Linked DNA regions of Caenorhabditis elegans. The protein of the gene in region 2 interacts with the protein of the main gene of each other region in a pairwise test. Each region holds a gene or a part of one and is shown on either strand. Other genes may lie near its edges.

Region 1 (4,661 bases), on a different chromosome or scaffold from region 2:
CGCCTACTGCGCACTAGGGGCCAATGGGTGGGCACACAGTAGGAAAAACATTGAGGGGAGAGTAGCTAAAAAGGAATCTGGCGACGGGCCGATTTGACTGCGGCTCCGGCTTTACTGATGTTGGAGTAACGATGAAGCACAGATAAAAGCATAGACAAAGTTTTGGTTTGGCGGGGAGAAAACCCAGCCAAAAACATGTGATGAACTAGGGGGTGCTTCAATTTTTCAACTCGGTGAAGTTGGGCTCGAAAGATAATTATTTCTCGTGCTTCTCCCATTGCGATCTCATTTAAAACGCTACCGACTTTTTTTTTTAAGCAGATGAAAATTATATATTTTTCATGTTTTATGAACATAGTAAATATTTTGTTCTGTTACGTAATCTTGGCTAAGAGGTTCCCAAAAATCAAATATATATATATATATATATATATATATATATATATATATATATATATATATGCTTATTGAATGTATTTTCGTTCCGTAATAAAACTGTAATTTATTTTAGAAAAAACATCTTAACCATATTTTGATACTTGTGTAAAATTTGATAATGACCAACCCTGTACTATTTTTATTTTTAGGCCTAAAAATTATAATTCGATATGCAAACGAAATATTGTTTTCAAAGTTCAGATCCGCCATGAAACATTTTCAAAAAGTGTACAAAAAATCTCATTACGAAAATGGGTTTAATTTTTTAATTTAATTTAAAACGAAAATGGGTTATCTGAAATTCCTAAAAAAAACCCTTAAAAATATTTTTTGGGATAATGCTATTTTGTTATTGTATAGCTGCTATTATGAAAAATTTTTATATTTCAATTCCCTTTAGATTTCGTGATCTAGACAGTAATGTTATTTTCTGAGTTTTTGATAAATGTTTTGAACGAACATTTTTACGAACATAACAATTAATAAAATCTACTTTTCGAGTAGCTAACATAAAATGCAATTATCTCTTTAATGAAATGAAACAGACTTCATGTTATGTTTAATAATTGATTATTGGAAATTGTAATATTTGTTGTATAAATGTTCAGAAGACGATTCCTTGTCTTTGCTCCTTTGCTCCTACGCCTTCACCCATTTCAGAAAAAAAAAACTCAACACAAAAAGTGAAGCATTCTACTATCTTTCCCAAACATGGTGATATGTGGTGTGCTCGTGGGCTCCTCACTTCACTCTGTCATATATGTAAATGGTTTGAAATCCGACAAGACAGCTGCGAACTCGTATAACTGGTATGTGTGTTTGTGTGTGGGTTTGTGAGTGCTCTGCCCCGTTTTCGAAATATGCAAATATTTCTGGACTAGCAATAAGAGATATATAACCGAAACGCGCGAAACGGAGATGGCCTCTCTCTGTCCACTTGTTTCCAGTTATCAGTTTGTAGCCATCTACGCAATTTGTAACATCTCAATAGCCCAAATCTCATCATTCACCATGTACGGGATTCTAGATTCGGAAGGAATTGAGAAATTTATGTAAAAACAAAATGCTCAAATCCAAGCAGAAAAATGAAAGAAATATGGATTACAAAAACGTTTGGGAACAACAAGATGATGTACTTTTTGAATTATTTCTAAAAGTTCATCTTCAACATCAGCACCTGAATCATAACAACGTATGACGCTATAGAAATGACGTTATACTTACTAAGTTAATTGTTAATTTAAGTGTTTCAAACATAATTCTAGACTTACTAAACTCATCGCCAATAAAGCTCAAGAATGTATCGCAAGCCATGAACACCTTACAATTTCCCCTTTGGGAATGAAATCCCGCTAACGTCATCAAAAAAAAAGGAGTTGGGTCTCTTCTATTTCAAAAGTGTCGTCCTAGAAGTTCTATCTTACCTTTGAAGGTCCGCAAAGACACCAGAATTGCTGAAAAGCAAGGATTCCAAGGTTTGAGTATTCATCAGATAATAATATTAACGCTCACCAAGCAATACTAATAAGAGTGGCTGTTATGGACAAAAAAGAAGGATGATAGTGGCTATCAATTCCGAGGGTGGGTTGTTAGGCAACGAGCCCGAGTACGGCTAATTGAAGCAAAGTCAAAAGAGAATATACAACTGTTGAGTTTGAGGATAGACGGAAAATATTATGAGCGAAGAGATATTTAGCTTGTGATAGCTAGTATACAGCTATTGTCATAGATTCGTTAGAATGACTAAAACTTTAGCCAATAGTGCATTGAGAATGAGGAGGCTTTCAAACATAATAATGAGGTATGAATCACCTTAAAGATACACATTTTGGTATTCAGGAATATGGTATCAAAATGTTTTTAGAAAATAGACAGGTTTAGAAAAGATGCTTACAAGGTGTATTTTTGTGATTTAGGGGGCTCATTCCTAGTTAAGAAATAGTTGTATATCTATGTAGTTGTATATTATAATTTCCAGATTATTTAACCCATTGAATGATATGTTTAGTATGAAGTATGCTTGGAAATAATATTAACCTAAGCTCAAAAATTGAACAAATTTCTTTGTAATGGTTATTAATGAATAACCTAGATATGATGGCATATAATACACAAACACCTAATCCTACAGGGTGGTCCATAATTATGGACTTGTTTTTGAAATTGTGTACCAAACGTAATAAATTTGAATTAACTTCTAGTAGAACCTCTTCGACTTTTACTAAGACAAATTTAATTAAGGAGTTACGTCTGAACGGTATCAAACCCAAAAATAAATAAATTTTATTTTAACAACTTCCAGTATTCCGGAGCCTCAGATCAGTACAGCTCCCATACCAGATTCTCTTTATTTATTTATTAAGATTCTGCTCAATTTTCCAGCATCAAGTTTTTCAAGGCAGCCTAAAAAGCCATGTAAAACAACTTACGGTTGAATGTGAAGATTTAATACAGGATTATAAGGTTCATCATAGAAGTTCATCTGGCCAGCTCTTAGCGGAGCTGTCAAACTCATGCCACAGTTTTCGGATCAAGTGGGAGGCAACAACACCAGCTACACAACCGACTCTGCAAAAGATTAATCTCTTATATGTCACAAGCGGTTTGGGTCCGACGGCCTCCCGTCCAAGTACGCCTGATAGATGCAACAAGGAGAGGAATAACGGAGCGAGTGTGAGGATTGAGCCAGCTGACTGTGAATTATGGTTATGGAGATATGCCTGATTAGCCGGAAGGCACGGCGCGAAACTTTGAAAATCTCTACAGCAAAAAAATGGGGGGGCAGCTGGGGGAAGATTGTTCGCACCCCTTTCACGTTCAAGCCTGGTGTGGTGGCTCACCAAAAATATTACAGAAAATAGTTGTATGACACACAGAAAAGTCAAGTGAAGGATTTCATCAATCATCCTAGAAAGCATAGCATACCACGCCTTGGTCCTCTTTTGTGCATACTTCTTCACAATCTTCAACAATTGAGACGTGAGAGGTCAGACAGACAACACTGAAGAAGGCAACACAAAAAAAACGGAAGAAGCACAAAAAAATAAAGAGATGGGAGAGGATGAGAGGATAGCGAAGAAAATTGATGGAGATTCGTGTGTCCTATTGCAGATTACGGTATCTGGAATCAAGAATGTAGAGTGTTTGGCTATTTGTGACCATCTTCTTTTAGGAACAAGCCAGGAGCCAGCATTTGAAGTCGTGCAAGTGAAGTGTAATATTGCTCATAGTTATCAACTTGGCGAAGTTATCACAATTGCTTTGATAAAACATTTATATACACAGAATATTGTTCTCAAGTCGGTATTTTTCTTTTCACTAAAGCAACGATGTTTCAGATCTACCGTAGTTGCTAAGATGTTTCCAGGTGTGAGTGAGTGCGCAAAGTTCGTTTTCAGGGATGCTGGAATTATCAAAAATATTTATCATGGTGTTGAATTGAAGCTGAAATATTATTATATAAGTTGTGTTATATTGGGTTTTATTTTATTTGTAGTTTCGGAACGCGAGGTCTTGTAGCCACTTGAATGCATAAGGTTTTTCTGCAATTAAAGTAGGTATTCAGTTGTGTTGTTCCAACTTCAAAAAAAAGTTGCACTGTTGTAAACTGGACCCCATAATTATGAACCACCCCGTTTGTATAAAGAATATTGTTTATGCACGTGGTGCCAGGCTGTCCCATCACGGTTTGATCTACAAAAAATGCGGGAATTTTTCTCCCAAAAAAAAATGTGACGTCAGCACATTTTTAACCATGAGAAATCAGTTGAGAACTCTGCGTCTCTTCTCCCGCATTTTTTGTAGATCTACGCAGATCAAACCGAAATAAGACACTCTGACACCACGTGTTTGTACAGTTTTCCAGTATTTGCAGTTTGTAATACAAATATTAAATACAATAACATAGCTTTAGATTTGTTGCATTCATTTGAAATTTTTTCTGATAATGGTGGGGAAATTAATTCTTCCCTTTTAAAAATGCTTGACAGAAATATTTTAATACACAGCTTCAATCGGCAGACTAAACTTAAAGAGCAGGTTTACGACAGCGTTGTTTTTTTTTTCTCGTCCTTCTATTTTTCGACATCGGAACGTCTTGTACCATCCAGCACTTATTTCACAATGTCAACTCACTTTACATATCAACGCTCACGAAACAAAATTTTACGACTGAAACGCTGAAACGACTGAACTGTGTGCTTGTAAAATTTCCTTTCATTATT
Region 2 (4,902 bases):
CTTGGTGCAACTGCCATACTACTTCCTTCAGAATGAACATCACTACGTCCACCTTCCACACCAAGCATCTGAGCGAGCTCGTTCGACGGTGGAATTGCGTATTCTGAAATGAAAATTGGTTAAAGGGTGAAATTTTAAAAAAAAAAAACTTACGATCATGTGCAGCAGCTCCTTGATTGAGTCTTGAATTCTTTTTCTCTTGAAGCTCTTTTTGTATCTTGTAAATTTTCTCAGCCAACAAATGATAATACTCTTCTCTGTCATTTGCAGATTCAAACATCTCTTTTTCGACTTTTCTGGCATAGGCTATCAAATCTTTTAACCGATTATCATTCATCGCTTCCTGATTCGGTTCCGGGAAAATCGCTTTAACCAATTTTCCGACAAGGTGATTTCTGAGATCTTTTGTGACTTGATGATGCCATTCTTTCGTACAATCTGGCATATCTGGTGGTGGCAAGTTTGGAATTTCTCCATTTCCACCAGGTGGTCTCGGTCCTCCACGATTTGGTCCGTTTTGGAATGGATTGCCATTGAATCCTTCGAATAGAGAATTTGTAATATTTCCAGTTCGCATCGCTGGCGATCCAAACTGATGAAGTCCATCACCTTCTGCGCTTCCGTTCGAATTCCCGTTGACTCCTATTAGATTTGCAAGATCGGGCACTGAAAATAATCAAATATTTAAAAAATGTTCTTGAGTAGGATAGAACGTACATGAAAATTGTAATGGAGTATCTTGTATCCTTTTGAGTGGTTTGCAGACAGGACAATCTTCCCTTGAGCAGTTTTTCCAGTGAGCTATTATTTGGCGAGACGATGCACAATGAGCGACTGAACATTTTTTTGTAGTTTGTGTGGTATCGGCTGAAAGAGATTTCAAACAGTGGCTAGAGTGAAGCGAAATTTTGGGTGGGAATAGGCGCTTCTTCTTGCGAAAATGTTCGAAACTCTTTCCAGATAGAGAAAAAGAAGCGACACGACGGGTAATATACTTACAATGACATAAACGACCAACATTGCAGCTTGTCATGTGTGTCAATACTTCTTTCATCGTTGAGCAATGGGGTAATGTACAGGCAGCATGTGGAGGTGGTTGATTCTTCGCAGCGAAATCACGATTTTCCTGTAAAAGCTGATGATGTATGAAGGAAACCAGAACATACTGTATAACATACCTTCTCACGTTGAGAACATTTGTGTGCATGAAGTAATAGAACAAGTTGTTGCTGAATAAGCTTCCGCTTCTCGGGATCTTGATGCGTTGCAAGCATGCTTGATCCAGGAGTTGTCGCCCTTCCAGCACCATTTCGTTGAGCTGCCGCCGCAGCTTCTTGCTCTCGTTGTTGCTGCTGTTGTTGTTGTGCAGCCGCCTGAGCTTGAGCTTGTGCAGCAGCTTGCTGTTGAGCAGCGTGTTGTGCTGCAGCAGCTTGTGGTCCAGGTTGACCATTTGGAGGACCGTGTGACATTCCTGGATGCCCATTGCTCATCATCATCATTTGATTCGGGCCTCGAATCGGTTGACCATTACTGTCCATCATCATCTGAAATGTAGAAGATTATTGTTATGATTCCAAGCAACTTCCAACCAATATTTGTGGAAGATTAGGGAATTATTGGAAACTTAAGTTTCAATTACACATCGATTTTGATTTGGCCAAATTCACGTCAAGCTAATAAGTGTTCCATTTTTGTTTGATCTTCAAAAATTGTCAGAATCGCACAGTTAAGATCATGCTGATCTTACCAATTTTCTAGGTTAAAAACAAAAAAAATTCCCGCATTTTTTAAAGATCAAACCAAAATGAAATAGAAATCAGGAAATAGTTTCTACTTACCCCTTGATGCATCATTGGATATCCACCGGGACGACCATATTGTTGCATAAATTCTGGTCGCTGCTGACCATATTGTCCGTGTTGCATAAACTGCCGATCAGTCATCATTGGCTGCATCATTGCTTGTTGGTTTGGAGGTATTCCAGGTCTTCCTTGTGTCGGCATTGGTCCACTTCTTGGCATTGCTCCATTCATCATAGCACCACGTCCCATGGGTTGTCCAGGAGTTGGTCCGCCCCGACTAACTCCTGGATATCCTTGAGGCATTCCCTGGGCTCCTGGTGGAGGACCACCTTGTGCGTACGGATATCGATGCATCATTCCTGGGAATTGTTGTCCTTGTGCACCCATCATCATTTGCTGTTGCTGATCTCCTTGGAACATTCCTGGTTGGCCTGGTCGCATTTGTGGTTGGCCTGGGCCTGGTGGTTGTGGACCTCCAGGACTGGGCCCCGGCACTCGACCCATAGATGGAGGTGACATCATATTCGGTGTACCATTTGGCATCATTGGACTCCTATTAAATGCATTTTGCTGTCCAGGCGGATATGCCTGCGGCCGAGGTGAATTGTTCGACGTTTGTGATGGATTCATTAGAAGTTCTTGAAGCACTGATCCATTGACACCTCCTCCCATATTCTGTGGCGGCTGCTGAGGTTGCGACTGTCCTGGTTGTAGATTGAACCCGCCATTGTTTGATGGTGCTGGTTGTGGAGTGCCTTGTGGATGAGGTGTCGAGCCAGAAGGACCACCGGATCCTCCAGCTGATGTGCTTGGATTATTGTCTACCTGAACAACAATTTTTATAAAACAGAGTGTTAATTCAAACAAAAAAACTTACATCTGTATCTTTACTAGAAGTTGGGAATGCTTCGAGACTTTCGAGAGCACTTAGCGCATCTAACCCAGAATCATAGTCTGAAAAGTTTAAAGGATCATACCGTAGCATCTTAACTTTCCTAGCAACTTACCGCTATCAGCGCGAGATTTTTTTGATGGTGGTTCATCCATCAATTAGTAGAAAAATGTATATATTTGACAAAATTCGAACCAAGTGAACTCTTTCTACTTCTCGGAACACCTGAATTGGTTGCGTCCGTCGGTTTTTGAATTCCCACGTCAACCACTACTTCATCAGAGTTCCCGCTTATTTGGGTTAGTTTGGCAAAATCACCAGATATAGCTGTTTGTTTCTGAAAAAAATGAAATGGATATATGGATTTTTGTCGGTGAACGGAGGAGGGAGGAGGAAGAGTGAGAAGAACATCGGTGAAGTAATGAGTGGAGGGTGGTTAGAGAGCGAGAGCACTTATGAAAAGAGGAGGCGAATTGAAGAGAGACAGACAGTGAGAGAGAAGGAGATGGAAAATCAATAGAATGAACGGAGGATGGTTGCACTTTTTAAAGTTTACCTGCACCATTGTATAAGTTGTTTAAGCGTGTAATAATAGAGAAGGAGCGTTTAAATGCTAAAATTGAATTAATAACATCAAATTCCAATGAATGGGTTACTGTAGCTATCATAAATTTAGAGCTTAAAATTGGATTCATAGCCAATTTTGCAAAACTTCGAAAACAAATTTTAATTAGAAACACTATAGTAATATACGGATTAACAAAAAAAAGTTGTTATGCAGTCTTGAGAGATATTTTTAAAAAATACTATGCATAATGAAGAAGGCGGGCATCTATATTGTGAAATTCGGGTATTTTTAAGCATTAAAGGTGTTTGGGACCATTAAAAACATGAATGCTCTAGATACTTACAGGTATATCTAGCTCGATCGATATTTGCTAAGCCAACCTTATGAGGCTAACTTCTCTTTCTCAGATGATCCCGTCGATTCACATGGTACTACTGACCCGATTCTGAACTGTATTTTGACTTAAAAAGTTGCAAAACATTTTCCACGTGACACGTTCAAAAGTTCATGATCGTGAAGAAGCGCAGAACACCGTTCGTCAAAATAACATGGTCAGTGGGAGAGACGACAGACAGCACGAGTCAGCCACCCACGAAGTAGTGTGTATCGGGAGAGAACGCCGACAGCGGGTGCCCCATGCTGTGGGTGTCTCGCAACGAAAACCGCGTTTCGCGAGATACGGTAGAACATTAACCGCACGCGACACGCACGCACACGAAGGAATATGCCATTTGGACAGGCTCCGTTTACAAGCATCTAATGGATCGAGATGAAAGTTTTGATTATAATTTTTGGTGTGATATTGAAGAAAATAACATTATTAACAAAGTTTGAAAGATGAGAGAACGAGAGCGAAACAGATAGATGAATGATGAGGTTGCAAAGATAAAAGTTAAATTTAATAATGAATTTGAGCTACTAGGAGCAAAATACATAGAAAATCGTAGAGCAATAGTATTTAGTAGTTGAATACTGTATATTATCACTTCGTGTAATGCCAGAGTAAGAGCCAGACTTGAAGCTCTGAAAAATCGATAACCACGATTGAGCACTTAATGGTTCAGTTTGTGAGCTCGCATTGAACTCTCATGAGCCGGCAGTGGCTTGAATAGATAGAGAATAATCGAAAGTGTAATGTTCTAAAAGGAAATTATCAAATACCACCGGAGAAGCAAAAAAACTGAGGAGGACGGAAGAGCGGCAGTTCAAAAAGTGCGAGAGGCGGGGCAATAGCCCTCCTCGTCCGACTGTCGATATCACCAAGAGAGGCGGAGCGACAGGGTGGCGGAGGGTGGTAGACTGGCAGTAGTTCTCAGTCATCCCAATAGACTTCTGAAGTTGACGACGATGAAGACTGAGATTCCGGACGACGACGCCGTGCTGCTGTCCTCAAGATTGTAATAGTGTGGCCGAGATGGGGCGGGGCCTCCGTTTCACACTCTATGCGCCCCTCTACTGCTCAGCGCTGGGCGTTCCGTCCGTTTCTCTACGCTCTCGTTTCCTTATCTTTCGGTATCGAAGGTGCAATTAAGGATCCGAATATACAGTAATTCATGATTCTTACGATAATGCGCATGATTGAACTGTTCTTAAACATAAAGTGTGGGAATAGCTAGACGTGTTGAGTATATTATATGTGA

Evidence for each region. Proteins that work in one complex are often made in the same cells at the same time.
Region 1: the proteins of cbp-1 (region 2) and unc-3 interact in a two-hybrid assay, tested with the Caenorhabditis elegans proteins (one study listed by BioGRID).

Annotation. Positions count from the first base shown.
Region 1 is NC_003284.9:14,771,883-14,776,543, reverse strand, and holds the start of unc-3 (Transcription factor unc-3), read right to left. Parts: upstream 3,007-4,661; 5' UTR 2,954-3,006; coding exon 2,868-2,953; intron 1-2,867. UniProt on the Caenorhabditis elegans protein: Transcription factor. Involved in motor neuron fate determination and maintenance, acting as an activator of gene expression in a subset of motor neurons. May act in concert with GFI1 homolog pag-3 in motor neuron fate determination.
Region 2 is NC_003281.10:9,764,645-9,769,546, reverse strand, and holds the start of cbp-1 (Protein cbp-1), read right to left. Parts: upstream 3,038-4,902; 5' UTR 2,850-3,037; coding exon 2,810-2,849; intron 2,757-2,809; coding exon 2,680-2,756; intron 2,628-2,679; coding exon 1,839-2,627; intron 1,545-1,838; coding exon 1,179-1,544; intron 1,127-1,178; coding exon 1,000-1,126; intron 868-999; coding exon 718-867; intron 667-717; coding exon 154-666; intron 104-153; coding exon 1-103. UniProt on the Caenorhabditis elegans protein: Acetyltransferase enzyme. Acetylates histones, giving a specific tag for transcriptional activation. May prevent DNA damage-induced apoptosis by inhibiting cep-1-dependent transcription activation of the programmed cell death activator egl-1.